Linked DNA regions of Rhinolophus ferrumequinum. The main gene of each other region encodes a partner of the protein of the gene in region 3 in a complex. Links are inferred from orthologs where the notes say so. Each region holds a gene or a part of one and is shown on either strand. Other genes may lie near its edges.

Region 1 (9,377 bases), on a different chromosome or scaffold from region 3:
CATCTCCCCAGGGAAGGGGTTGAGCCCAGTGGGAGGCACAAAGATTCAGGGACTCCCACCGATGACACGGGGCCAGGGCTACCTTCACTGTCCACCCACTTGAGGGTGAGCGGCTGCCCCTGGTGGAGGCTGCACATCTCTCTGACTTCCTCGCAGAGCTCCTCGAAGGTGGTGGCCGCGTCCACGTTGGTGATCAGGATGTCCCTAGGCAGAGGATGAGTGTCACCATGGAGCAAAGGGAAACCGAACCCAACACGGTCACGATTAACCGAGCTACTGATGAAAGAAGGGACACAAAATGTTCCCCAAGGAGCCACCAACCAAGGCCTTGCTAAGTCACCACAGCGACTGTCCCAGCCCAGAAGGAGAGCTCTGTGGGGAGGTGCCTGGGGGCTCCGTGCGGGAGGAAGAACCAGGCGGAGCTGTCAGAAAGCGCCCCAGCACCGCTCAGGTTCCAGGTCGGCCCAAAGGTCACCCCAGCAGGTGGGGCAGGGTGGGGTGCACACAGGCTGTTCAGTTCAAGCCCAGGGGCTTCATTACAGTTTTCCCCAAACCCGCATAGTGCCAACCAGGGCCCGTCACACGCAAGGAGGAGACCTGCAGGAGGAGGGGGACCTGGGGTGGCGGCGGGCGCAGAATGGACTGACACAGCCCAGGCTGCTGCTTTAAACCCTGGGGCGACCATTCAGGGGCCTGTGGTGAGGCTGTAACATAATTGCAGGCACTTTTTTTGTGTGTGTGAAAAGGAAGTCACATAATGTCATTGCCTTTTATCTTCCCATCCCAAGTGAGATGCTAAAGCTGGATGTCTGCATACAGCTCAGGGTCACCCTCTGAGGGCTGGCCCTTCAGAGATGGGGCGACCCCCCCAGGGAGAGGGAGGGAGGGAAGGAGGGGGCATTGCTCCCACTCCCGCCATGAATGCCAGTCCTGTCCCCCCACCACAGAGGGAAAGTCTGAGCAGGAATCACATCCTCACCATCCGCGCGGGAACACTGAAGCTGTGGGGAAAATGTACCCACATTTGACAATGTGACACGAGAGGGCAGAGCCTATACAAAGACATCTGAAAGGCTCTGAAAGGTCACAAGCCATGGAAGTATAGGGTCTGCTTGGTGTTGACACCGCTGGCTTCTGAACTCCATGAGACAAGTCTATGCAGACTTTGTTCCCAAGGCAATAAATCCAGCGCCACCGGGATCTGGGCTCCATCCACAGGGCGCCCACCTTGGCTCAGCACAGCAAGCCAGGGCCCAGCCCCACGCCTCAGTCACCCTGGGGGCTCCAGGAGATGGCCCCTGCTGCCCACCCCTTCCCCCAGCACCTGCCCCCAGTACCCCAAGCTCTCCACCAGGGCTAACCCAGCCCATTTTCCCACAGCCTGAGCATCTCAGCAGACGGGGAAGCTAAGGCATAAAGGGGCCACATGGCTCATCAGTGGGGGCTCCAGAGACGAAGCTCCCACCCTCGCCTACCTCATACCCTGGAGTCACCAGACCTGGTACTCACACTGCCCGGCACACCTGTCACCTGACCCAGTGTCCACCAGTCCTCCTGCCACTGGGAGCTCTGGAAGTCAGAGTCAGCCACCCCTTCACCTTTGACCTCTGCCTGCCCCAGGAACCTCTCCCAAGTGGAAGCTAGTATTTCCTCCCAATGCCTCAGGGCCTAGAGGCCACGTGGGCAGCTCCTGAAAAACCCCAGAACCCCAACCCTTGGGAAGTGCCTGACATCGGGCTGGACCACGGAGCGCTGGGCTCGTCTTCACACATCACAGCCTCTCGCAGCCACTGGGCGCCTCCCCTCCTGGGCAGGACTGCAGCACCACGGGGAGGGCCCCACCCCCAACAGGCACCAGGCCCCTGACCCCCACCAGGCCCCTGACCCCCACCCCTGATTCACCCCAATCCTGAATCCAGCAGCCCCTCTGAGCAAGCCAGAGCCCTGGGCCGGCGACCAGGAGAGAGCACCCAACCGCCCGGAACGGCCCCTCCCTGGACCCCAGGTGTGTCAGGCCACAGAGCACAGCCCCTGCCTGGGCTTCGCACGGCGCAGGTCCTGGACAATTCGCGTTCTGAGCTGGAGGGAGGGCAGACCCAGCACAGTCATCTCTCTGACCTTAGAAAAGTGGCCATGTGAGGTTTAGCCCGGCAGAATAGGGTCTCCAAACGCCCCAAGCATCAACCGGAAACCCCCTGAAAACTCCATGGAAAACACAGGTGCTGCCAGACCCCACTCAGACTCCGGTGACCACACACCCTCTAAAGGCCCCGCGAGAGGGGAGGGAGACCCTGATCTCAAGCCTTGGGAGGTCTCAGGGGATGCGAAGGGTGACCAGAGGGGCAGCTGAAGAGCCTCCCCCGCTTTTTAAAAATGGCGGCTTCAATGTGTCTGGCCCCTGGCCGGGCTGCCCCCAAACAACCCCCTACCCAGAGGGACCAGCAGCATCTCATCCAGAGGCGGGATTTCACCTGGACCTGGGGGGTCTGTGCGAGAGCCCGGGCCTTGGCGGGCACTTTCTGGAACCTGCATCACTGTGGAGCTCTGAGGACTAGGTCTCCCAACTCAGACAGCGGCGTCTCCAGCTCCCTGGGTGACGCCCCCGTGCAGGAGCCCATTAGGAAAAGCAGGCCTGGGAGGAAGTGAGGAGCCGGGCCTGCAAAGGAACCTAGGGAGGGCACAGCTGGCAGAAAAGAGGGGTGCGGGAGGGAGAGGAGTGTTGGAGCAGCGGGAGGAGGAGGAGGGGAAGAGGGAAGGGAAGGGAAGGGGGGAGAGGTGAGGGATGGGACGGGATGGGTGAAGGGGAGGAAGGAGCAGAGGCTGGAATGGAACGAAGAGGAAAGCGGTGGGGCGTGGCCTCCTGTGCCTGAGGAAACCAGGCTCAACAGGTCACATTACTCCTGGTAACCAAATCGCTCTCCCGGGGCCAAAGCCAGGGGAGCGGACGTGGTGGGCGGGGCGGCTTCCCCAGAACTCCCCCAGGTCTGCTGAACTTTCCCCAGGACCTGCCTCCACTGTGGCCCCCACGCCACAGCTCAAGGCCTACAGGTGCCTCCTGGAACTTGTCCTGGGGGAAGGCTGTAGGGTCTGCTTCCCACCCCACCCCCAGGCCGCTCTGGGTGCGGGCATCTTCTCATCGAGCACCATCTCTGATTTTCACAAAGGCCGGTTGCTCAATTCAAATGCTCCACAGTGGATCCACAGTTTACCCCGGGCAAGCCGGTGGATAAGCTCAAACCTGTGGACGGGTACAGAGCCAGGGCCTAGCTGACACCCCACCAGCTTTAATCGCAGCCCACCCTTCCTGGCCAAAAGATAGAACTCAGGGCCTCTTCACAAAGGCCTGCAAGCACGGCCCCCAGAAATCCTTCTGCCCTGGGGCTCTGCCACCAACCCCCCAGCACCGTTCCACCAGGCTGAGGGGCACCGAGGGGACAGGAAAGGCCTGACCCGAGATCAGAAACAAGAAACGCTCAGGTCAACAACCCAAAGCCCCTGCTCAGCCTGAGGACTCGCTGGGCGGTGCCATAGGGCGGTGCCCATAGCGCTGTGCCCACGGGGCAGACCCCACTCCATGCTACTACAGCTGCAACCGCCAAGTTCACCCGTGGGGTCGGCGCTCCGCTCTGCCCACCCCCACCGGGCAGTGGTGACCCTGGGAGCAGCAAGGTCCGACTTGGGGACTCCTGGAGACCAACACCGGTGGAAGGCAGCAGCAAAGAGCCTAGTTCTTCCTAGAGCGCTGTCTACACCGCGCAAGGGGTGGCGGCGGGCTCCCGGCCTCTGGACGCCACCCGCTCTGTCCCCACCAGGGCTGCTCGGCGGCCAAGTGTCCAGCGCTCCCGGCCACTGACCCCTGTGAGGCGCCGACTCGCCCCATTTCACAGCGAGGCAGGTAGAGTCCAAGGCGCCGTGCGCGGATGCAGGGCTGGTCAGTGTCCGAAAGGTGTGGTCTCAACCGAACCGCGCCGAGCCCTTCCAGGCGCCCGGCATTCGTGCAAACACCGGCGACTAACCGCCTGGCCTTCGCATAGGTCATAAACTTTCCTTAAACTGAGATCTCTGGCCGCGGAAATTGAGAAAATTTAGGAAACCCCGATTTTTAAAAGTCTGCCAGCAGTTTTCACAATTTGACAAAAACTTGAATCCTTACAGGTTTGTGGCCTTAGTATCCTAGCCAACTTTCCAGGGAAAATGTCAACACTGCCCAGGACCGTGGAGCGCTCGGCGACGCCTGCCTCCGGCTCCCGCGCCCGCGCCGCGGAGTCCCCCCCGCAAGTCCGAGCCCAGGAAAACCTCGTCCCGGCCGCCCCTTGGCGCTGGCGCGTCAGGACCTCCCGGGACGCCCCTGGGCCCGGAGGGGCCTCGCCGTTCCTTCCCTCCCGCGCCGCGACCGGGAGCCCCCGGCTGTCGGCCGCCCGCTGCAGCGGCGACACGGCCCCCGACGACCTGCGCGGGGCGGGTTGCTCCCGCGCCCGCCCCGCAGGGCGGTTGTCGGGCGCCAGGGCTCACCCGTTGTAGTGCGCCTTCAGCCGGACGCGGCCGCAGCTCCCGTCCATCTTGGGGCCAGTCCTGCTGGGCATGGCGCGCTCCGCCGGCCGCCGTCAGCGCCGCGCCCAGGACGCTCGGGCCATGGCACGGGGCCCCCAGGGGCCCGGCGTCAGGTGGGGCCGGCGGCGGAACGCGGAAGGGAGCGCTCGGCGCGGGGTCGGGAAGCACTGGCCCCGCCAACTCCGCAGAACTTCGGCGGCGCGCGAGGCGGGGAGGGGGCGCGGCCGGCGGGGGCGCGCTCCCGCGGAGTACGGCGTCAGGCCCCGCGGGGGGGAAGTCCGAACATGGCCGACCCAGCCGGCGGCCAATCGGTGGGGCGGACGGTCCCGGGGCGGGGGCGGTGGCACCTGCGGCCAATAAGGGCGAGGCGGGGCCGCCACCTGGGCCAATCCCCGGGGGACCCCGCGGCCGCGGCCCAATGGCGCGGCGCGGGGACACTACCTGTCGGGCGGGGCGCGGTCCACCTGCGGCCAATGGGAGCGCGCGCGGCCCGGCTCTGCCCGGCAACCCCCGGCGGCTCCGGCGGCCGGGGACTCCGACAGCAGCCGCCCTGCGCGTTCCCCTCGGTGCAGTGGGCTCCGGTGCCCGCGATTCCTACGTGGGGTCTCCGTGCTGCAACGCCCCGGGAACTTGGAAATGCCAACTTTCGGGTCTAGATTCGCTGAATCGAAACTCCAGCCATCTATACTAACAAGACCCGGGTGATTCCAGGGCAAGCGCTGGTCTGGGGTACAGAGAGGAGGGGGTCGCTGGTGACGTGGGCGGGGGGCGGCCAGAGAGAGGTCCGCCTCCGGGGAGGACAAGTGTGGGTCAGCAGCTCCGACCCCGAATCCCCAGTGCCCCGCGTCCGGACAGTTTACTGATGCGGAGACCGAGGTCTTGAGACCCCGGCCAAGACCACGGCTGAGAGGGGCCAGGCCCCGATGGTTGTCCGGGCCCCAGCCGCCCTCCTCCACCGTGGAATCCAAGATCCCCTTGCAGGGGAGGCTTGTCTACACTCGCTAGCCGGCTCCCTCTGCTCCTGGGACGAGGAGACTGCGTTTGCCGGGGTCGCCCATGACCTTCATTTCTGAATCCACAACGTCCACCTTGGCGTTTGATCTGGACGGTTGCATTTGAACACTATCCACGGCTCACGCCTTCTCTAAGGGCCTGCAGCCTAGCCCCCCCGCCCTTAAATGTGGGGTTGGGTTTCCTTGAGGAACCCACCCCTTACTCGTTGCGTCCACAGAGACCCACGTGTGCTGTTAGCAGGACCTCACCTGGGCGCCAGGTGGGCATCCCAGGCTCATAGGTCTGCAGCCCCCATCCCTGCCACCCCTGCCAAACCGGTCCTTCCATTGGCTACTCTCCGGCCGCCTCCCCCCCCTTCCACATTCCACCCAGCTGGCAACCTCTGACGCAGTCTCTGCTAAGCCTTCACCACTCCTCACCTGGACAATCCTAAGGGCTTCCCACCCTCTCTCATTCCACAGATGCTTCCTGGCGCCTCCTGGGTGCCAGGCGTTGGGGGGACCCTTGGGGAACCAAGTGGTCATAGAGCTCACGTTCTTCCTAGAGATGGCCACAGAGAAGCCCTTTGACGGCCCATCTCTCACCTACTTAAGGTGCTGTGAATTCTCCCTTCTTAGAGAAACCCTCTGCACCCCACACCCTGCCACCCACCTGCTCATTTCTCTGCTCTTTACTACAAAATTCCTGTCAGGAAGGAGCCATCTGCAGTCCGTATCCCCACTTTCTCCTGCCACTTTCGCTGAGCCCCTCCTCCACCGGGACTCCTGTGTCACTCCTCAGACTTTTTCTTAATTGACCCTTGATGATCCCCTGGGAACTCACCCTAGGATGCTCTCTCCCCCACCCCTCCTCCTTGGCTCCAAATGCCATCCCAAGTTCAGCCCGCTCCCCTGAACCTCTCATCCTAGCAGACCTCCCTCCACCATGCCCTTCACCTCCTTCATTGTCATGCCAACCCCTCCTTTCCAGGTGCTCAACTCAAAAACCTTGGAGTTCCCTTTGCCTCTGACACCCCACTCCCCTCCAGCTGCAAATCCGGGCCCCTCCACCCTCAACATAGGTCCAGACTCCAGCCACGTCCTGCCACCTCCACGGCCACCTCCCACTCCACCCTCAGCACTGGGATTTTTGCAGAAGCTTCCAGTTTCCTTAAAACATGCGTCAGTCTGTGTCCACCTGGTGTTCAAAATCCCCAATGATCCCCCATGGATCACAGGCAAAAACCCCAGGTTCTGCAGGGACTGGGGTCCCATTTCCTTCTGCCCTCATCTCTCACCATCCTCATACTGGCTCAGCCCACCTGGCCACCTGGCCACATTCCTGCCTCTTGCTCACCTCGGGGCCTTTTCACCACTCTTCCCTCTCCCAGGAGCTACTTCTCCAAAACCCACACTTCCTTTGAGTCTCTACTGACCATTCCTGATGCCTGTATCAGTCCGCTTGCCCGCCTCCCCCCTGTGGGGTGACCGCTGCATCCCTCCGCCTGGGCACAGAGCTCCATGACTTTCAGTTGGACGTGAAGGGGAACCAGGTACGAGTGTTTACCCTGTGAGGGATGAGCAGGAATCTGCCATGGGAGCGGCAGCCCAGGAGGCAAATGTGTGGGGTGCAGCCCTCCCAACCCCACCCCCATGCGAGGCCTGCAGTCTTGTCCCCACAGCCTTGGGCACTCCTGACGGGTTGCACTTCATGGGCACAGGCCATCTGACATCCCACAGCATCCCCGGGTGTTCTGATTTTCTGCCTCAAAGCGTGGCCCAACAGGGAAGGAGTCCAGAGCTTGATGCCCACAGCAGGCAGGACGGGCTGGTGGGTGGCCGTTCCACGGGACACCATTTCTCGGATATGCCCTAGCCAAGGCCCCAGTGGACACAACAGCCCAAGTACAACCCCAGAGCCCTTTCTAACCGGGACAGCCTTGTTGGGGTTGGAGCCACTGACATCCAGTGTCCCCTGGGCACTGGTCTCGCCTCAGCTGCCATGTGGGAGCCTCCCTCCTGGAGGCTGGTACCTGGGTCACTGCAGTCCCCAATCCTGGCAGGGGAAGTTCGGAAGAGAGCTGGGGTGGGAGGGCTTTGTTCTCCGCGGGCTTGGGGAATGGAGGTGCCTATCTCAGGAGGCCATCCTGGGGGGGAGGTTCCACGCCTGGCTCTGGGACCACATCGAGCCCCAGGCCGGAGTGAGGGTAGCCTGCGGTGCCCAGAAAAGGTCCCCTGAGAGCAGGTGGAGGCCAGGACTTTTGCATTCTGCCCACCAACTAGCTCTGCAAAACAAAGGCCCCCACCTGCCCAGGCCCTCAGACCACCTCCAAAGGTTGGGGGCGGGTGACCTCGGGGGTTTCCTGGTGGCCACCGGCGCTGAGCCACCCCTGTTAAGGCCTCAAGGGTAGAGTGAGGTTGTGATGTCCTGGGCACCCAGTGCTGTCACTGTGTCTGCCACCTGCTCTGTACTCTGGTGACCAGGGAGGGTGTCTGTTCCCCAATTTTCAGACCACTTGCCCCTCCAGAAGTGATGGGGGTTGGGAGCCAGTCAGCCGGGGTCACTATTGTGTCCCCATGTCTCTGAGCATCTGGCACACAGTGGAATGAATGAATGGATGAATGAATGAATGAACGAATAGGTGAAGACCCCTTGGAAGTGCTGGGACAAGGCCGGCCTCCTAGGACCACGGGCCCTGTTCTGGGGGTCACTGGGCAGAGTTACACCTCTCCCCTTCTGCAATCAGCAGCTTAAAGGCGGGTGCAAGGACAACCCATGTGGGCGGAGAAGGAAGGTGACCCTTGGACCTGAGCGCAAGACCCCAGACAGACCCAGGAGGGCCCCAGTGGCTGAGGGAGGGTCCTTTTCACCTCTGGGCAGTTTCTGTTTGCCCAGATTTTCCACAAAGACCTCATATACTTTCATAATCACCAACACCTCTTATTTCCAAATGAAAATTCAAAGATGTGTTTTTGTTAAGTGATTGTAAAAGTGGCACGGGCTTCTTGTAAAATCCCACATCACGGAAGGATGTGGGCCGAGGAGAAACCCTCCAGTCCTGACACGCCTCCTCCCTGGACAGACCCAGCCGGGCAGGGGACACGCCTGTGGAAGCCACCAGCACTCCCTGTGCCCTCTTGTCACCTGGGGGTAGGGGGGTCCACTGGTCATCCTGGCAGGTGTGAGACTGACCCGGCGGGGACCACGAGGACCCAGCAGGTCACAGGAAGAGCCCAGAATGGGCAGCAGAAGTTTCCTTTCTTTGTCACAAGTCGCGGGATTTTGAGAAACTGGTGCAAGCGACAACGTTCACTGCACTCGCTTATTTATTCATTCGGCGGGTGTTGGCTGGGTGCCCCAAGGTGTACCGGGATGCAGGGGTGAGCCAGCCAGATAAGGCTGCTCTCTCATAGACACCAAGCGGGGGACAGGCCACTGTCACTGGGTCACACAGATATGGCAGCCCTGTCAGAGAGAGCAGGGTCTGACCAGGTCCTGGCGGGGGCCAGCTGTGGAGTCTGAGGATGTGTGAAGTGGAGCAGGAGAGCAGGAGAGCAGAGGGCTGGCCTGCGCAAAGGCCTGGTGGCCTCAGGGAGCAGGATGTGTGGAGCTGTGGGACAGGTGAGAATGCAGAAGTGCTGGGGCAGACCCCAGGGGCCTTGTGGGCCACGTAAAGGGGAGGCAGGGAGCCAGTGACGTGGCCTTGAAAACTCTCAGAAAAGGTGGGTCCCTGCTGCTGTGCAGGGTCCTGTCCAGAGGGAGAGGGAGAGAGGGGTGTCTGCATGTCTGCGGGCTTCTGGGCCTGGGTGTGGATCTGTGTTTCTGTGAGTCCA
Region 2 (9,615 bases), on a different chromosome or scaffold from region 3:
CCACGACCACCACCTTCCTCTTCTCCATCACCATCACCAGCACTATTCTCATCATCACGGCAACAACTGCCCCTTCCTCCTCATCACCGTCACTATCACCGCCACCACCTTCCTCTTCACCATCACCTTCATCGCCACCATTATCATCATCCCCATCGCTGCCACCACCATTGCACCAGCACCGTCACATCCATGATCACTATCACTACCACTGCCAACGTCCCCTTCCTGTCACCGTTATCACCACCACCACCACCGCCACATCTACCACCTCCACCATCTATACCACCATTACCATCCCCTCACAACCATCATCCCCACCCCTACAACCGCCCCAGTACCTGTCACCGTCTTTACTACCGTCACTGCGGCCCGCCTGCTGCAGAGGCCTCGCCTGCTCTGGGCCTGAGCCTTACCTTGCCCACGTAATGGGGCAGGGGCGCGTTTCTCTCTTCATCGATGTGCATCTGGTTCCAAATCCAGTCTCTCTTGTGGCGCCGGAGGGTGGGTAGCATGCTGGGAGTGTCCAGCTGGGCAACGTGAGCACTCGTGGCAGTTGCCACCAGCAGGCACAGGCAGGTGCCCATTGCGGCCAGAAGCATCGGGAGCACATACATCTTCCCAAGAGGCACAGATCTGGGGACAGAGAGGAAACACCGTCAGGGCCTGTTGGTCCCTATGCTGGGGTGTGAGCAGCTCCCAGGGACAAACGAGCCCCCCTTATCTGTTCATTCCTTTGTCCTTCACCCTCTGCCGATCCTAGCAGGACCAGACTCTGTTCCTGCCCCCAAAGAGCTCCCAGCCTGGGAGGGGAAGACAGGCACAGCAACAATTTGTACTTCATGTCACATGTGCTGGTGTGGAAGCAAGTGCAGGCGAAGGGAGAGCCCAGAGGAGGGCTGCGGAGAAGGCGTCCCGGACGAGAGGGTGATGCTGATGGTAGCTCCCGAAACCTTGTGCGGTGGGCACCCAGTTATCCTTATTTTACACGTAAGAAAACCCACACACAGAGAGGTGCAGTTCAGCTTGGAGCAAGTGGTGGGGCTGACAATGGATCCCAAGAGTCTGACTTCAGCGGCTAACATTTATCGAGCACTTATCAAGTGCCTGACACTGTTCCAAGCACTTAATGGGTTGTCTCACTTTAATCCTCCCAATCACCCTCAAGGTGGGTATAATTGTATCCCTCATTTTGCAGATGAGCGGAGGAACAGAGAGGTTTAGGAACATTTCTGAGATCACTCAGACTGTAGGCAGCCGTGCCAAGATTTGAAGGAAGTCTGTCTGGTCCAAAAGTTCATGGTTTTTCTTACTGCTCTCTCTTTTCCCAGCAGCTGCTATGACATGGGATTTCAAGGCTCCTCTAAATAAACATGTCCTTTGGCCAGCTTTGGAGCCCATGTAGCAGTGTGGCTTTGATGCTGTCTTCAGACGGCTCTTAGGAAACCCAAGTGTGTTAACCCAGAGGGTCAGACCTCACCCCCAGAATTCATGGGAGATTATCAGTTCAGGAGCTGTCAACAGAGCAGGGGTGGGTGGTGTGGGGGTTGAGAGGCTGGGCTTACAGTAGCTTCATCATTTTCAGGGCCCACTGCAAAATTTAAATGTGCGGTCCCATGTTCAAAAGTTATTAAGAATTTCAAGATAGCGACAGAAGAACATGAAAGCAGGCATGGGGGCCTTTTAAGCACAGGGTCCCTTGTGGTTGCCCAGGTCCATGCCTTTCAAGGCAGCCTTCGGGACATGGGATCAGCCCAGATTGGGATCTGGGTTCCCCATCGATGGGGGCCTAGCGTCCTCCTGAATTCCAGGGAGAGGGATTTTCCCCACTGCCCCACAGTGGGTGGAGGCTCTGACCTTGGCTGTCACTGTGCCCTCAGCCCTGACCCCTTCAGTCCACCCCTGCTGGGTCCCTGTGTCACTGACCTGTGGCGTGTGGGATGGTTCAAGGGAAGGAGGCAGGTGGTGGGAGTGGGACCAGCGCTCCTGCCTGGAGAGACGAGGACTCACAGGGTGCTGCTGGAAGGAGGCCCACTCCCTCCCTGACTGTCCCCTGCTTTGGCCCAGGGGAGAGGCTGGACTCTGCACATCACAGGAGGTTTCCAAACTCTAGTCACATTTCTTCTGTGACACTGGCGCCAGGCTGGCCTCAGTGAGGGCCGAGGGTGTCTGTCTGTGCTGGGCCAGCCTGTTCTCTGGGTCTGCTGATCTTAGCATCCGAGGTTCCCATCCTGTGTCCCCTGCCACTGGCCCAGGAGGAAGTGGGCTCCTGGGTTGGGGTGGAGCAGAGCAGGCCCCAAAATACAAGTACCATGTGCCTCCAAGGTCCTCCTGCCTCCGCCTCTCACTTTCCTCAGTCACAAATGAGGCGACAGACTTGGGAGAGATCCAGTTCCCTTTGAGGTGGGTGTGGCAAGGGCAGCCATTCCAGGCGCGAGGCAGGGAGTGAACAAAGCCACGGGGAGGTTGGGAGTCCTGGCCAGGAAGCTGGTTCTGACTTAGGGAAGGCAGCGGGCGTGACCCCTGCCCCAGCCTTGCTGGGCCCGAGCCTGGTGGGTCATTTCCTTTTTTGCTTAGAAAGGAACTGCAAGTCTTAGTTCTTTCTTCCTCCCTCAAATGAGAAGTGACTCGAAAATGAGAAAATGAAACAAACAGAAGTGAACCTGAGAGAGAGAGAGAGAGAGAGAGAGAGAGAGGTACTTTTCAGGCTTCTGAGCAGGACAGGGTGTGAACCCTGATGGGTATTGAGCACCTACTGTATGCTGGGCCCCATGCTAGGCATTGGGGTACAGCAGTGAGCAAGACAGACAAGAACCACCCTCAGGGAGTGCACACTGTAGTGGGAACACCGGGAAAATAAGTAAATGAGGAAAAACATCAGCTAGTGATCAGAGGGTCCCAGGGAATTACAATGGGGGACACAACAGAGACCGAGGGAGCAGCTGGTTGAGATGGAGAGGCCAGGAAAGGCCTCTCATAGAGATGACAGCATCTGAGTGTTAGTCCTAGAAACGCCAGGGGAAGGAAGGGAATTCTAGGCAGAAGGACCAGCAAGTGCAAAGGCCCTGAGGTAGAAAAATGGTTAGTGTGTTTGAAGAAGCAAAGGAGGTCCCTGGGTCAGATACAAATGAACAATGAGGGAGGGCAGATCACAAGAAGAGGTGGCCAGGTCAGTGTGGTAGGCTGCATGGTGCCACCCACACAGATGTCCACATCCTCCTCCCAAGAACCTGTACGTGGCAGATATGATTACGTTAAGGATCGTGAGATAGAGAGATTATCCTGGATCATGTGGGTAGACAAAATGTAATCAAAGGTTTTTAAAAGGTGAAGGAGGGTCAGAATCAGGAAAAAGGAGATGTGACAATGGAAACAGTGGTTGGAGTGATGCAGGATCATAGGCCAAGGAATGAGGGTGGCCTCTAGAAACCAGAAAAGGCAAGGAAATGGATTCCCCCCTAGAGTTTGTAGAAGGAACACAGCCCTGACTTTAGCTCACTGAAACCTGTTTCAGACTTCCGACCTCCAGAACTACAAGGTAACAAATAAATACATTTGTATTGTCTCAAGCCACTGTGTTTGGGGAGGTTTGTTACAGCAGCTGTAGGCAACTAATGCAGTCTAATTGTGCAGTCAGCTGTGGGGAGGGGGCTGGCTGGGCGAGGGGTGACCCGTCACTGTCATACAGGAGAGAGTTGATGGTGGTCCAGCCCAGGTTTAGGAGGGGATGGCCACGGGGACTATTTTTGGGGTACAGTTAACAGGACTCACTGGTGAAGGGGAAGTGGGGGCGAGGGATGGGAAAGAATGAGGGAGGGCTCCCAGTCTCTGGCCTGAGCAGTGGGGGGACAGCAGGGTCTTTCCTGAGATTCAGAAGCCGGGGCTGTGGCGTGTTGGTGGGGAGGAAACCAACAGTTCTGTGCGGACTGTGTCAGGTTGCAGTTACCTATGAGAGGTCTCTGTGGTCATGGCCAGCAGCTGCTGGAGACCCGCCTGGAGTCTGGGGGAGCTTGCAGTTACCGTCTGGTCACTGTGTCTGGTCACTGTGTCTGGACGGTGTTCAAACTGCGAGGGTGGAACAGTAAGGAGAGCAGGTAGCTGGAGAAGAGAAGTGACCCCAGGACAGCACCCCCGGTTTTGCCTCTTTCTCTGTCTGGTGAACTTGTCCTTCAGAGTTGAGGACAAGTCCTCTGGGGACCGTCCCTGGTCCCTGCGTCACAGCCCTGCTTTCCCGACGTCCTCCACTGGACTGACATCCAGGCCCCAGGGCAGGGCTCAAGTCAGAGCTTCCTCTGCTTCCTGGAGACCATCTTTCCCTCTCACCCCAGCTATGTCTCCCCTACTCAAGGCTCAGCCACATGTCACACGTGGATCGTTGCTCTCTGGGCCCACTCAGTGCGGGGTGGTGGCTATGACGGCAGCCTCTGTAGTTTGCAGAACCTCCGTTGCATTGCTTTGTTGCTAAGCGACTGTGCACAAGACACTTCAGCCCTCTGAGCCTGTTTCATCCTTGGTGCAGTGGGAACACCAGCATCTACCTCTCAGGGTTGTCTTCAGGTTGAATTAGAAAATGTTTGTGACGTGGACAATAAGCAGTAGCTAAAAATGGAACCAAAGGTGTGTGGATTCTCACTGCCACTGGGTCTGCTCCCTCGGGGACTCTACTTACCCTTCTTGTTCCTTCACACCCCATCACTTGGTGGAGGGATTTGCAGGTCCCCTCCTGCCAGATCCAGTCCTCCCACGCCTCCCCTGACCTCTGCTCTGTGTCGAGGGGCTGACCCCTGGGCTTTCTGGCCCTGGCTTCTGGTGTTTGGCCAATAGGCGCTCCAGCAGGAGCTCTCAGGATGGGAGGAGAAAGCGGGATTAGTTCTTCCCTTTGGCTCTTTGTGCTGGTTCATACCATTTGCTGTGGCTGACAGCTCCTGGTGGGCGGGAAGCCCCTCCAGGGTCCTGGCCCTGACTGGGTTCTGGAAACAACCCTCCCTCCTCTGTGCCTTTGGCTCTGGGTGGTAACGGCTTCCACTGTTGCTGGTGTCCACGTGCCTCAGTGTCCCCCTTGTTCCCTTAGCTGAGCTCCCGGCTCTGTAAGTAATCCCTCCGAGCCCCCAGAGTAAATACTGTTTCCTGTCAGGACCTGTCTGCCCCAGTGAAGAGGAGCACAGCTTTCTCTTGGGGGGGCCTGCTTGGATGAGCTCGACGTCCCAGGGCTGACAGCATCCATCAGCCAAACAAATATGTAACCATGCTGGACTTAAATAAATCCGAGGCCACCTGTCACAGGCTCCGGCCACATGGCACACAGGGGACAGTAACCCCTCAAGGGGCTTTGTCTGGCCCCACATATAAAGTATGATCTGAATGTGCACATCCATTCTGTGTCCAGCAGAGGCTCTGCGGTGGGCCCTGGAGAGAACTCCCTTGGCACACAGAACTGGGACTGCCCTCCAGAGCCACCCCACCACACCAGTGTGTCACTTGCTGGGGGGAGGGGGCGGGGGGAGGTCTGCATGCTCAGCTGTCTTGTCAGTGGCAGTTAGTGAGGAGGCAGGACCTTGGAGATGAGGACCTTTGGGAGACGAAGCTCACAAAATCCCATCGCCAGCCCCCATCCCGGACCCTCAAGGGCTCTTCCAAGACAGCACTTTTTGGCCGTGGGTGGTGGATGGGGGCTGACGTTCCTGAGTATCTCCTCAGTGGCCCACATTGTCTCATTTAAACCTTGCAAACTATAAGGTAGTTGTCAGTAATCCCATTTAGCAGGTGAGGCTCAGAGAGGTGGAGTGAGTCATCGTAGGCCACACAGCAAGAGGCGGAGCCAGGATTTGAACTTAGGCTGCCTTTCACCCCACATAGTGCTTTTTCCATCATGTGCCCCTCTCTGTGGTGACATTCATGTGCAGTAATAATAATAAACTGTTCTCCATGCTGGGCTTTCATAGCTACCATCTCATTCAGTTTTCACATTATCCCCCGGAGGTAGGAATTATCAGCTCCATTTCACAGAGGAAGAAACTGAGGCTCAAGACAAACAACTCAGAAGGGTTAGACCTGGGACTCCCCACTACCTCTCAGATCTATCTTTTTCTAAATCCCACGCTCCTTCTACATCCAATCTCAGCGGGACCTTAGGGTCTTTTCCATCTGAAAAACTACATTTTATTTGTGTTATTTTGCCTTTTGTGTTAGAAATTTGGCCACCAAAATGGGGGCCAAGAGGAATGGTTTTGTCTAACAATTATTTCACCTCCAACTGCTGTAGAGGGAGAGGAAGTCAGGCAAGAGGATTTGCTGTACCCACAGCTGGCAGCAGCATTTCCCGTGGCTACATCTCTGGAGGTGTAGTCAGAGCCACAGCGGGGTCAGACTTATTTCAGCCCTTTACCGCCCTACAAATAGGAGTCACGTCTCTTGGTTGCTGTCACCAAGTTTTCAGAGGTCAAGGTGCTGCTGGGTGGCTTTGGGTGTGACAGATGTGCAGAGGGTCAGATTTCTGTGCTCAGAAATTCCCAGCTGAGCAGCCAGCCCTGGCAACTTGCCCAACAACTGCCTCGAGGGGAGATGGGATTTGCTCTTTGGGCAGCTCAGATGTGCGTGCCACGCACGCATTGACCAGGTGCCTGTCTGTGTCCCTGTCATCTAGGATTGTGACAATGCCCGTCCCTGGAGCCATGTTGGAGACTTTTGGGGGCAACTCCAAATGGACTCATGGATGAGGTGGGCCAGCTGGCGAACCTGAAGGGGTTGTGCCCTTGGTCAATCTGGGAAAGTCTGGGGGACCCACAATGAGAAGACAGAGTGTGGCCCAGAGACCCTGGTGAGCGGGCATGGAGCCCAGAACAAGGGGCAGAGGAGCCTGGGAGGACCTGGGGAGTGGTTGGGCTCACCCACGCCTGGATGGCAGGTTGGGGCCTTGGAGACGCCCCGGATCCGGGTCTGTGTCCACAGTGAGTGGGACCACTGAGGTCGGAACCTAGACGCCAGGCTTGGTCACATCCTCTCCACCTTTGTATTGCCGTTCTCTCTCCTCTGCCTGGATTTAGTCCCATGTCATCACTTTTCTGAAACCCTCTCTAGGGCCCTGGGGTTACACAGTCATTCAACAAACATAGTGCACCAACTATGTGGCCGGCACAGAATGAACACACCTGGGGAACAAACACAGGCTGCATCCCGGTGGGGGAGATGGACAATAACCTCTTGATAAAAAATAGACCTTCAGACTGTGATGGAGGAGTGCAGGAAGCGGTGAGAAGGCGGGGTGGGGGCGGCCCAGATTGGTCTGAGGGTCTCACTCCAGGAGTGAGTCCTGCCTGTCTCTGTCCCCCTGTGGGATCAGGCAAAACTCCCTTTGCTCTCTTTCTTTTTGTGGCCCCCATGTGTCCTTGAGATTTAGCCTGGAAGGGGCTGTGAGGTCTGCTCAGCTCTGTGTTCTTTAAAAGGAGAGTCTAGGGGGATACAGGGGGCACAAAGGGAGGGGCTGGAACTGCTCCATTTGTAGCTAAATCGACTCTGGGAAGCCTGGACCCAGCTGGGAACTGCTCAGTGGGGCAGCCTGGCAGATGCCCCTAGGCTGGTCCTGCCCCTGACCACTGGGCCGACCCCTGCTCCTTGACCTGACCAGGACCCTGCTCAAGCCTGAGGTTTTAGGGGCTAAGTTCAGGCTTTTGGGGGGGGGGTATTGAGAAGGCTGGAGGGCCCTTGGGGGTGGGGCAGAGGAAGCCTCCAGGTCAGAGATACATGCATGACATCTACAGACACACCACACAGACACACCACCCTCCACTGTGCCTTCACAAGTATACACCCCTGTCCCCAGGCATCTGCCCACGCCAATTCCTGAAGAGTCTCTGCTCTGTGGGTCTGGCCCCTCTGTTCCCACCCAGCACACCCACCATCAGCTGGGACAAGACCTGGCAGCTGAGCCCAACCCTAAGCAAAGCTTCAGAGAGTGGACGGGACGCTCAGTTCCAGCCCAGCCTCCTGCAGGCTCTGGACTCCGGCCCAGAGGCCCTGGGTCAGGGATGAGGGGCTGGGCCCAGAGCACGCAAGAGGTGTGTCTGTAGGAGGGGACGAGCTGGGCCCCTGCTCCCTGTGTGGCCCTGAGCAGCTCTCTGCACTGCCCTCCCATGCCATCCCCCCACACACCTCAGTTCAGGGCTGAGGTTGTAGCTCCTGATCCCCAAACTCCGTCAGGAACTCCCCAATTGTCTGTTCAAACCCCAGCATTTACAGCTGGGCCTTGGCAACTACAGACACCGTGTGAATGAAGGGTGAGGCCTTGGGAGCCTTGGGGATGGGGTGTGCTGGGGGTGGGACTGGGCAGCCTACAAGCTGGCCCCTTGGGACTTTCTCCTGGTTCGTAGCTCAGTTTGGCTCAGGGACCTGCTCCTGTGGGTCCCAGACCTGATCCCCTTCCCTCAGGGTTCTACCAACAGCCCCGTCTTAACTCTGCTGAGAGCTGACCACCCTGCTCCCTTGCTGACTGCCGTCCCTGGCTCCTCACCTCCAGCAGGATGAAGCTGGTTCCTGAGCCAGCACGGCGTGTCCCCTGCCCACGACTCTGGCTCTCCTCTCCCCCACCTCCTTGCCATTTCCAGTCATGAGGAGAAGTAGGTGTTTCTGGGATGCACAGGTCTTCCTCTCTCTAGGCTTTTTGCACAGGCTGTTTCCTCTGGATGACCCTGGATCCCAGAGACCCCAGCATAAATTTGTTTTTAATCGCAAACTAGCTCTAGTGAATTGGTAAGTATCTACCTCAAAGACAGTATTGAAGATTCAGGGGCTGAGTTCAAGTTCAGTGGGAATGAACACTATGGTGGATTAGTGATGTCTGCCATGGGTATGAGAATGGGTGAACGGCCAACGCTGCCTGAATGCCCTTCCTTGCTGTGTCCCCTGGGTGAATGCTTTACTTCTTTTTAAGCCCCGGGCGCCTCCCCCATGAGGTCTTCTGATTGACTCCTGCCCCCAGTACAGCCTGTGCTTCCTGGCCCACGTGCCTCTGAGCAGGCAGGCTCTGGGTCTGTTTCCACTTCATCCAGTATCCAGCTGCATGAACGCAAGGCCCCGGCCCTTGATGGTCAGGTGTTCCCATTGATGCATGTCAGCCTGCCTCAGTCTCCAGTCCTGGTCTTGTCACTCTTCCCTCTTCACTCACAGGATTGAAAACAAACCTGAATTATTTGCAGACAACACCTCGGGTGGTCAGAGTGGGTGCAGTAATTGGTATAACTCAGTGAAGCTCCTCCTTGTTCCCAAATAGCCTCTCTACTGGCCCAGTGTATTGTCATACACACCCCCATTAGGAGATTGGTCCTTTGAGGACAACGAGATTATCCTTCTTATCAGATCCCGATGAACACACACCTGCCTCTGTGCAGGGGACCTCTTACAGGATAGGACTGGTAAAACAGAGGTCATAGGTGGCCACTCACCCATTCCTGTACCCATTCCAGACATCACTAATTCATCACAGTGCTCGTTCCCACTGAACTTGAACTCAGCCCTTGAATCCTCAATACAATCTTTGAAATAGATACTACCGTGTTTCCCCCAAAATAAGACCAGGTCTTATATTAATTTTTGCTCCAAAAGACGCATCAGGGCTTATGT
Region 3 (10,321 bases):
AGGAGTATCTAGTAACGCCTTCAGAAACTAAGGACACCACACTAAAAAGCCTCTGCAGCTGGCACTCTGCACTCTGTGTCCACCAGGAACCATGGATGAGTCAGGCCACAGGCAAGAGGCGAAGAGACACACGCAGGCAATCACTCCTCCATTTCTAAGCACTGGAGAGAAGTCCAGGTAACGTGGCTCTCAGCAGGCAGCTGAGCACCTTCCTGAAAGGGTCTGGATGTGGATGGGTAGATAGAGATAACAGCCAAAATATTTTCACCTGTTAGCGATCCTAAGGAGAAATACCCTTTTTTCACTAGAGGAAGAAAAAATGCTATAACTAAGTGTAAGCCTTCAAATATTTGCTTATTGAGGACATTTCTAGCATTAAGTCATGCCACTCCCCTGTCCAGAAAAATTGATCTGTTAAACGTGAAGAGAAAACAGCTCAAATATAATGCCAAAAAATTAGCCCAAAATGCTTACTGCAGAGAAAGCCATAGTGACTTGGGATCTTTCTTTCTCTTATCCTTTTTTGTCTCCCTTTGGCTTAGTTGGTTTTTATACAAAGCCATAAACATGATCTTCCCACATTTTCCCCCACCAGATGGAAGTTCATCATGCCACATGTCACCTAGCAACCTAAACACCACTCTACAGCTTCCCAGATACCCAATTCTTCATACAAAATTTATCTTGTTCTATTAAACAAAAGGGGGTAAGGAAGAGATAAGAGAATAAAAGTTAAAACAAGTGTTAATATGTTTGCTTCATAATCATTTGAAATGGGATAAGAGAAATGGAAAGGACTAAAGTTTAACTGTAACCATTACCTGATAACTTAAAAGGAAAAAATAAAAATGTACCTACAAGATACTCAGGTTCTTGCAACATTTGAGGTTCAACAGTCTTGTGCTCCAATGACAGAACTTTGTATGCTGCAAAGCCCATCCTAAAATTCAGTGCAGCTGAACAAGCTGCACTTAAAGAACATTTAAATAATTTTGCAAACCCCTGCATCAGCTGACTTCTCCCTCTCACTTTATCCAATTCCAATGCTACCACCACCCTGAAAATCTATCTTCCTTCCTTCTTTCCTTCCTTCCTTCCCAACCTGGTAATATCATAAAAAGGGTGCCAAAAAATGTATGCACATTTTAAGAAAGGGAAAAATCTATTAAAATTGTAATACTCAATATATGCCGATAACAAAAGATGACTACAAGTCACATTTGACTTCTGCAATTACAAGAGGTGCTCAAAGTGGTTATCATCAGCGTCCAGACACTTCTGGAGACAGAATTACTGCTTGAGCAATGTTGACCAAAGCGTCCACTTGTATACATTTTTTTGGCATCCCCAGTATTTTCCTTCAAAACTCAATTCATATGCCCCTTCTCTTTGGAGTGCTTCCCAGACTCACTCAAGAAAACTGCACTTCCTTTTCTGTGCTCACAGGGCACTGTGAAACAACCACCACTAATATTTTTTAAAAAGGTCCTAATCTATCACGGAGGCCTCTCAACTCCATCTACCCAACATCCAGGAGGTATCTATCCTCTTCTCCCCACTGAACAACACGCCAGCCCACACCACTGGCCTCTTTCACTTGAAGGGCTGGCCGTGGAGCCCCTTGTCCTAGACTCTTACATCCAATTTCCAGAAAGCAGCCAGCCAGTGGGTCCCCTAGATATCCAGCAACCAGAACAATGCCTTGGACATAGTAAATGTTTAATAATTTCTGTGGACCAAACAAATGACTCAATCAAACAACCACATTTGTGTCTCCCAAACAGGCTATTAAACCAATGTTCATTGTATGCATAATGAAAAATGACAGATTTTAAGCATGTGTTTAATCATGTAAGTAACTTTAATTTTAAACATGTAAATTTCAAGCATGTGAGCAAGGAAATGTCAATCAGGAACCTAGAGATACTGCAAAGTATATAACATTGTATTTCTCTTTCCTTTCAGACTTATTTGTTGGTTTCCTGAGAAACTGATTTCTGATTTAGAATATTCACATAAATTGTCATTCACAAACAATCCTTTAAAAGGCTAAATGTAGGTTTAGAGGGTATTTCCCCCCTGGACAGCACTGCAAGATAAACAGGTGCCAAATTTCCACTAATTTTATTTGGTTTTCCATTAAGAGTTTAACCAATTGTAAGGAACATTTTAGAGCTGTTAAAGCCAACATTTTCCATCATTGTGTCAGGTTCCTAAATGTCCCCAAGATTATCTTTAAAACACTATATTTATGTGTTTTTCTCTATAAGTACTAAAAAAAATAGTGTAAAAAAGTTTTTCCCTCTTAATATCAGAGAAAATTGGGGGATGTCACTCTGAGTGCCCTGTATACACTTGGGCTGACAAAGCCTTCTTCCCCCACACCTGCTGCCCCAACCAATGCCCCCAGGAGCCAGGACTCTCCACTATCAGGAGGAACAAATGGAAAATTTTTAAGCTGAATATGCTTTCCACCAAAGATTACTGCAAAGGACATATCCTCAGGTGCTTGAGAGAAATTTCGGAGGCATGGGCTGTTGTAAAACAGACACAGCAGATAAAATAACTAACAAAACGCCTTTTCACTTCTGACACATTGTATCGGCATGCAGTTAAGTGGAGACAATGTTATCACTCCACCAAGAAAAAGGGAAATCTACTCAACTCCGAAATCAGGCCCAGGCTGCGGAGCGTGGGCACCATATGGAGCTAGTTCCAGATAGGTAAACGCTGAGGCCCTTGCAGGAAAACTTTTAATTCAGTAACTGATTTCAGGCTTGTACTTTGAAAGGAGTCTCGCACAGGAGCAACTGAATCGCCGAGATCCTGTGCTCAGCCAAGAAACTCGCGAGCTGGAGGAGCAGGCGTCTCTATCCCGGCCGCCTTTCCCACCGCGGGCGGGAGACCCCCTCCAGCAGCCCCCAAACACGGGGCCGCCCGCGGAAGCAAGGAGGAAGGGCTCGTCGCTGCGGTCCTTCCCGGCCGGGACCCAAGGCAGTGGAAGCAGCAGACACGCTGCCACTCCCCGGCGAGTGTGGAATAATTAAACTCTCCTCCCACCAAAAAAGTTCCCTCTCCCAGCTTTGCCCGCCGGGCCTGGGAGCGGGGAGAGGCCTGGGGCTGGATTTCAACCGCTGCAGCAGCTGCGGCCGATAAGAGGCGTCCCGGCCGGCTGCGCCCGCGCCGCGCGCGGGGTTCGGCTCCACTCCTCGGGCAGCTCGAGGGGCGCCTGTCACCACGCCGGCCCCGCGGCCGGAGCCCCGGGGAGAGGCGGGCGGCGTCCCGCCCAGGGGCGCGGGGCCCGGCGCGGTCGTCGGGGCTGCGCTCGCGGGCCCTGCTGCACGGAGAACTTTGCGGCCAGGAGCCCCGGGCGAGGGGCGCCTCGAGGCCGCCGCGGCCGCCGCACTTTCCCTTTCCCCGCCTCCCTCGTCTCCCTCCTCCCCTTTCCAGGAAGCGCCATATTGATCCCGGCGCCTTCCCTCTCCCCCTTTCCTCCCCCTCCTTCTCCCGCCCCCACCCAGCGCCCCGCGCCCCCAGCCCCTCACCTTGGCGATGGCCTTCCGGTAGCGAGTCACCGCTTGCTGGATGAGGCTGAAAACTTTCATGTGGCCGTCGCCGCACGGCACGACCACCCGGGTCCTCCCGAAGCACACGGTCACTTTCATGCCGCCGCCACCGCCAGGGCCAGCCCGAGCCCCGCGCCCCTCGCAGACGGCCGCCGAGCGACTACCGCCGGAGGCTAGAGGCTGGCGCGGCGGGGCAGCCGACTGGACGGGCGGCTAGGGGCGCGGACAGGCGGCGCCCGGGGGCCGCTCCGCTCGCATGCCCGACCCGGCCGCCCTCGCGTCCCGGGGCTCGCCTCGCCTCTCCCGCCGCGGCGCCTGCGGCTCTGGCCACCTGTTCGGCGTCTCGCGCGCTCCGCGGCGGCGGCCCCGGCGATGCGGCGCTCGCGCTCGGACGGCGGGGGAGGGGACGGCGGCGAGGGGAGGGAGACAGGGAGGGAGTGTGAGAGAGAGTGAGAGAGAGACAGAGAGGAGAGAGGGGAGGAGCGGAGGCGCACAACACCGCGCACGTGCGGCGGGAGGCCGCCGCTCCCCGCGCGGGGCGGAGCGCGCCCCCGGGACCCCCGCTGCTCGGCCCGCCCCTTGCCGGGCGCCCGCGCTCTGCTCAGCGGACCCTCGATCCTGGCGCTCGTCCCTTCCAGCCCCTCGAGACCCAGGCGTGCTGCGGGCTGCTCTCGCCCCAACCAGCCCTCTTCGGGGATGCCTGCTTCTTGCCCCCGAGTCTCTCTGGAGCCCCTCTTTCTTTGTCACTTTTAATCCCCTTCGTCGGACTGAGGGTTCCGGGTGAATCGCTTCTGGAGAAAGCAGTTTATTCAGGGTGCCGAGATATTTGGAGAGGAGTGGTCACCAAGTCCCCCGAGAGGACTGGGAAGGAAGGGCTGGGACAGGAGGTTCTTCCCCCAGCGGGGCCTTGCGCCGCGGACGACACCCACCCACCCCCACCCCCACCCCCTCCAAACACACACACTCCTAACCCACTCCCGCAGCCTGGCAGCGTTTTGCACTGGCTCGCTCCTTGGGCTACAAGGCCTGGAAGAGCTTGTTAAGCGTTAAAAGCAAAAATTAATCGTCTGCTCTACGGAGCGGCTGGTGAGGCTTTGACTCGATCGGCCTAGCTCCTGAGGCCACTATTTACCTTCAAGTTACCTGTGAGCTCGTGGTGACCCACCCGCTTCCACAGGTAGAACTTAAACATCAGCAATACTAATCATTTTATTTCTTTAAAATCTGCAACACAAGCAACCCTAACGCAAATTTATGACCAATATAAATGTGAGAGGGCATCTCCACCATGCGTCCGCTGCACCACTACCCCCACCCCCAAAGAAAAACGAGTCCGTAGTAAGTGCCTCTGGGACTTAGGACCTTTCAAAAGAATGTAGACCAAGTCAAGAAAAGTGACTGATGCTCATGTCTGCCTTAGCTGTAAGCTGCGATTCCTTAATAATTGTATGCTATTGTGTTTCAAGAATAGCAAATGACAGTTAAGTGTCGTTGGCCATGTGTGTGTCCCAAACGATAGTAAATTCATTTTGCCAGTTGTTTCTAGAATATGTGAAAGCAATTAACAGGTTCTGTGAGCTCAAGTAGAACTTCAGCATTTAGAACAGGAAGAGCTGATGACCATACATGCATCCCACTCCACCTCTCATGTTAAAATAAGGAAACAGGACAAAGTGATCCATCTGCTCTCCAGAATTGTTGCACCTTTCCCTGCCCCAGGTACAGTGTGATATGTGATATGAAACATTGTACTTCCTCTAATCTAGTCAATCATCTGTCCTAGCAAACCAGTGCAATAAGAAAGTGCTATGTGTCATCATCCCCATCTTACCCCAGGATATTGATAAGGACAGAGTGATGAAGTCGCTAGCCCAACACCACAGAGAAAGCTGACACAGACCCAAAAATAAAATCCAGGTTTCCTTCCACACATTCATGGGAAAGACTCATCATATTCCTCTTCCATGTGGCTGCAATGTTCAACCTTTCAACCCAATAGTTAAGTTTGTGACAGCAACTCTTGTCGAGGTCTTCTTACTTCTTGTATTAATACTTGGATTCACAACAACAGTTTCTGATAATTATAGATGTTTCTGTTTTAATGCATTGGGGAGGAAGGAATACACTAGTTTAAAGTGGGGCTTTCTCAAAATAATTCTGATTAAAAGGCAAGTTCAGGAATATCCAGAGTACATCAGACATAACACGGATCTAGGTTCAGATCCTGACTCTACCATTTACTAATGCCTTAGACATGGTGTTCAATCTTTCTCCAGCCTCAGTTTTATCACCTGAAAAGTGGAGTTGATGATCTCCATCTCATAAATTATGAGCATTAAATAAAACAATGTGTTAAGACATTTAGTACATGCCACCACATGGGAATGTGTGGTATAGTTGAGTCCAGTAACCATAATGTGGGTGAAGGGTAACAAAGTCAGGACAGGGCAGCTGCATGATGATATTGGGGGAAGGGAGAACAGTGGGAGCAGAAGCCAAGGCTGAGAGAAAAGACTGGCCTGGGGATACAACTGTTCGGTGACTGCACCAGGGCTCCTGACTCTCAGGCCTGTACTCAGTTCACTTCAGTTAGATTCCACATGCAATTAAAGAAGGCCTTCCATGTGGAAAGCACCGGCTAAATATTACAGAATTATAAAAGTGAGTAAGAAAAAGACAATATAGAGGTTAGAATAAGGTAGCTCTAATAACTAATTCAAGACATTAAATATTAAGTTCCCACAAAATGTTAATGACACTCCTGGGGAGGGAAGCCTGCCGTCATAAAAGGCAACATCAGAATATAAGTGTACCACTTATTCACATCGTTTCCTTCCACTATTCAATAGTTAATAAAGATTTAGACAATTTTTCAAAACTATGATTCATAGGATTAATAATTATAATGTCTAGTCAACTAACCAGATAAAGCTTTATATAAATCTACCTAGTTTATCTAGATATAGTGATTCCCTTTACATTAATAATTGATGGAAAACTAATGCTGTGTTAATTTTAGGTAACAGACACTTTGGTGTCTTGAGTCAAATTCATAACATGTCCTCAAAAATAATGAATCTACTTGCACTAATATACATGCCCAACATCTAACCATAAAGCTACATTGGGGCCAGACTACCTTCACATCTGCAAAGTATTCAGCTTAACCAAATTGCTTCTGGCCTGATAAAAGCATAAAAGCAAACCTAGTCCCAAAGAGAAGCAAAATTATCCAAGTCAAGAGACAAATGTTACATAAATATTTTCTTATGTATTTATTAAATTCTTCATATTTCAGGTGAAAACTTATGACCCTTATCTTACTTGCCGTACTTTTTTACAGTTGATTGATTCAATTGGCTGTGGAAACCCCAGAGCATTCCAAGGATTAATTAGGATCCACCTGGCCTTTGTGCCCATCTGCAAATGAGCAGGTGTGACAACATGGACTATAATTTCAACTATATCCAGCAGCATTCAGGTGCTCCATGAAATAAATGCACACCCCACATGTGTAGGAATGGTATTCTATTACTCAACATCTTACCCTTACAGGAACTTTTAAAATTCAGTCATACTTTGAAAATTAAAGTTATCTCTAGGATATTTCACTCAGTCATAAATATTATACTTAATATCATGTTAACAATCTTGTATGCCTAACCTCACACAAGGTCAGTCTGAAAAAAGAATTGCATCAGTATTCACCGAATAATTACTGCCCGCCTGTGTTATACCAAGCACTGAACTGTAGGTTGGGTATGTAAGTTCCTCCCTCAAAAGGTGCCCAGTCTGGAAAAGGTTTCAGATGTGAACAGAGTATGATAGGTGATTCATATTAGGGATAGTGGGGGTACACTCGGGAGATGTTCACTCCTTCTGAGATAGAGGGAGAAAGGTAGAAGTAAGTCACCTGGAGTAAAGCTGTCCAAGAGAAACTTAAAGCGAACCACATTTGTAAACTTTAAATCTTCCAGTAACTGCAGATAAAATTAATTTTAATAATCTATTTTATTTAGACCATTATATCCTAAATATTATCATTTCAATATGTAATCAACATTTTAAAAATACTAATGAATACTTTTCATACACTTACTCCTCCTACTAGTTCTTCATGATTTTGTGTGTAGTTTATACTTACAGCACATCTCGATCAGAATCAGCCCTCCATATTTATTCACTCATGCATTCACCCATTCATCAAACACTGAATTGTAAGAGAGCTCAATGGCTACTTGTGGTTAGTGGCTACCATAGTGGACAGCAGAGCTTCGGGGAATGGGATTGCTGATGGCTGGAAGCCACATACATCGTCAAGGAACTTACAAATATATTGAGCTCTTTGAGGGCAGAGACTGTTGTTCACAGAACTTCCCCAGAATTGCTCTCCCAAATCCGGACGCATGCTATTTACTCAGTAAGTGTTTGACGAATGAGTACGTGCATCAGTGAATGAATATGGAGGGGCGGAGGAAAGATGGCTTCTGGACATACATAGATATGAATCATATAATAGTATAGCTGTGTTTGGGGTACACTGCAAAGATTGAGGGGAATAAGAACTACACTCAGGCTCAGTACAGCTTCTCTGTTGTGCTTCATTAAACATAAGTCTAAAAACAGTGATTTTTTTCTAATGAAGCATGAGCTCATATGATTTATATGGGTAAGAGTAATGCCAGTGAAAGAAAGAGAAAAAAAAGGAAAAGAATAAGAAAGAGGAGGAGCCCTCCTGATCCCTCAACTTGCTGAAAGCAGTCATCAGACATGAAAAGTACAGGGAGTGACTTGGTTCAAAACAGGAGTAATTGTACAGAACAGACTTCCTCAGGTCATCTCCGTTCCCCTGCATCCAATGCTGTGTCTTCACCCTCGAGGCTAATGTAATCCAGTGGCACCCGACTCACCAGCTTGTGATTACAGGATGGGGTAGGATATACTTTTATCCCCCCAACAGACCATATGTATTCAAGTCCCCACCTTCAAAAATATTCCAGGTCGCCCTCAACTGGCAAATTAGCTGCAGTCGTCAAAGTGTGCACCCCATTCTTGCTCTCCTGTTCCAATGCCGAGAAACAACAGGAAAGTGTGGCACCAGCCTGCTGAGACAGCCCATCTTTTTCAGGGTGGAGGCTGGCACAGCTGGTGATGTTAAAACTTAACTCTATTGAAGACAAATCTGCAAGAGGGTCAAACAAGCAGCCAAGCCGCTTGCTTGCTGGTGGTCCAGCAGTACTCAGAGCATCCAGGAGTGTGGAGAGGTGTCTCCATGCGACGCTTTCATTATAAACACCAGTTCTTTCAGTTGAATCTTGGGGAGCCAAGTTCAGAGGCAAGTTCTCTAGAGAGGCCTAGAGTGCTGACCCTCTAAGTTGCTGAGGAAACCAGAGGTATAGGTAGTGAAATGACTGCTGTTTTTGGAATTTCAGAGTCTGAATCAAGATTCTCTGCTGGGTAGAAGAGCATTCTGCTTTCTTTTCAAGGTGGGCAGGGTTCTACCAGGAACACAAAATACTGCAAGTCGTCTTTTTCTTCTTCTTCTTTTTTTTTTTAACTCTAAAGAACTTTGAGAAAATGATGTGAGAATGGGAGCAGATCAAGGAAATGATTTTAATCATTTCTTAAGAAGTGAGACTCTCCTCTCCCAGAGGATACTTAACCTTTGATGATTAAAAGGAAAAGGATGAAATGAATTCACATAAAACCTCACACCAATGCTCAGACAAATCTGAGTTCTACAGAAATTCTGGCAAGGGGATATGAATCAGCTTTTAAAGACTATTTAACAAATGTGGTTAAGCAGTTTCATTCAGTAAAGAGGAAAAGGAAAAAAATGCATTGATAATTGGAACAATATATTTTTTCTTGACCCTGTCAAGATAAAAGGGTTGAAATTCTCAAATCCTGAAATAATGAAGATGAATAAAGGGAACGCTTTCGCCGGAGTCACTGTGGTGAAATTAAACACACCCTGCAGGACCCTCCCAGAGTGCCTCCAGGGCTGTGGGCCTACCTGGGTGACCAGCCCAAAATCTTGCAGGGCCCGCACCACCCTGTCCTGCTGAAGGAGGAAAGTCCTCTTCCCCCAGAGCCAGACCTGTTCATGTAAAAAGGAGGGGAGTGGTGGTGAGGCTACTTTGCAACCAAGTCCCGGGCGCCTGCCATTCTATGTAATATTTCAGGTGAGCTGGGCCAGTGCACATCCCGCCCTGCTAATCCTCTGTACCTGACTTTAAATGGCTGAATCATCCTTCCCTCCTCTGTCAAATTACTCTGTTAACCTCGGAATTCAATTTCAAAAGCTTGCTCTGATGCTTTGGAATTTCATCTGCTCAGTATCTAAGCTACAAGTTTGTGTCAGCTGGGGAGCTTTACAACCTCGGTGAGTACCTGGACCCAGAACCCACAGAACCCTAACTAGGCAAGAAATCTTTATGCTGACGAAACAATCCCAGATCTCCCCTCCTTGTCCGGCCCTTCTCTCCAATGGCTGATCTTGTGAGCCAGACCATCCCATTTCTCTGCTCAGAGCCCTGCGACGCTCTCCACTGCATTCAGACATAAAACCAAAGTCCGTACAATAATTTGTAAGAGTCTCTGTGGTCCATCCTTCATCCTCAGCCTTTTCTACGACTCTCCCTTGCTCGCTCTGCCCCAGGAGCCCTGGTCTCCCTGCAGGCCCCTGAAACAGGCTGCCTTCCTTAGGGCCTTTATATTCGCCACCCCTCAGCCTCAATGCTCTTCATCCCAGT

The links.
Region 1: PARD3 (region 3) and PRKCZ share a complex: the UniProt entries of both Homo sapiens proteins name them as parts of the par polarity complex. The link is inferred for Rhinolophus ferrumequinum from reciprocal best matches to the Homo sapiens genes PARD3 and PRKCZ.
Region 2: the proteins of PARD3 (region 3) and CDH5 are in contact, whole or in part, in an NMR structure (PDB 2KOH), measured with the Mus musculus proteins. The link is inferred for Rhinolophus ferrumequinum from reciprocal best matches to the Homo sapiens genes PARD3 and CDH5. Residues at the interface, in NP_296369.2 of Mus musculus: Ala599, Gly600, Leu601, Gly602, Val603, Ser604, Val605, Lys606, Gly607, Arg609, Lys611, Lys622, Ile625, Asn655, Gln656, Met659, Arg663, Met666; in NP_033998.2 of Mus musculus: Tyr774, Gly775, Asp777, Gln779, Glu780, Glu781, Leu782, Ile783, Ile784.

Annotation. Positions count from the first base shown.
Region 1 is NC_046292.1:901,316-910,692, reverse strand, and holds the start of PRKCZ (protein kinase C zeta type), read right to left. Parts: upstream 4,796-9,377; 5' UTR 4,584-4,795; coding exon 4,513-4,583; intron 205-4,512; coding exon 83-204; intron 1-82. UniProt on the Homo sapiens protein: Calcium- and diacylglycerol-independent serine/threonine-protein kinase that functions in phosphatidylinositol 3-kinase (PI3K) pathway and mitogen-activated protein (MAP) kinase cascade, and is involved in NF-kappa-B activation, mitogenic signaling, cell proliferation, cell polarity, inflammatory response and maintenance of long-term potentiation (LTP).
Region 2 is NC_046298.1:16,358,145-16,367,759, reverse strand, and holds the start of CDH5 (cadherin-5), read right to left. Parts: upstream 4,019-9,615; 5' UTR 3,970-4,018; coding exon 3,947-3,969; intron 2,181-3,946; exon of another isoform or gene 1,927-2,180; intron 637-1,926; coding exon 417-636; intron 1-416. UniProt on the Homo sapiens protein: Cadherins are calcium-dependent cell adhesion proteins. They preferentially interact with themselves in a homophilic manner in connecting cells; cadherins may thus contribute to the sorting of heterogeneous cell types.
Region 3 is NC_046288.1:5,597,746-5,608,066, forward strand, and holds the start of PARD3 (partitioning defective 3 homolog), read right to left. Parts: upstream 3,929-10,321; 5' UTR 3,666-3,928; coding exon 3,546-3,665; intron 1-3,545. UniProt on the Homo sapiens protein: Adapter protein involved in asymmetrical cell division and cell polarization processes. Seems to play a central role in the formation of epithelial tight junctions. Targets the phosphatase PTEN to cell junctions.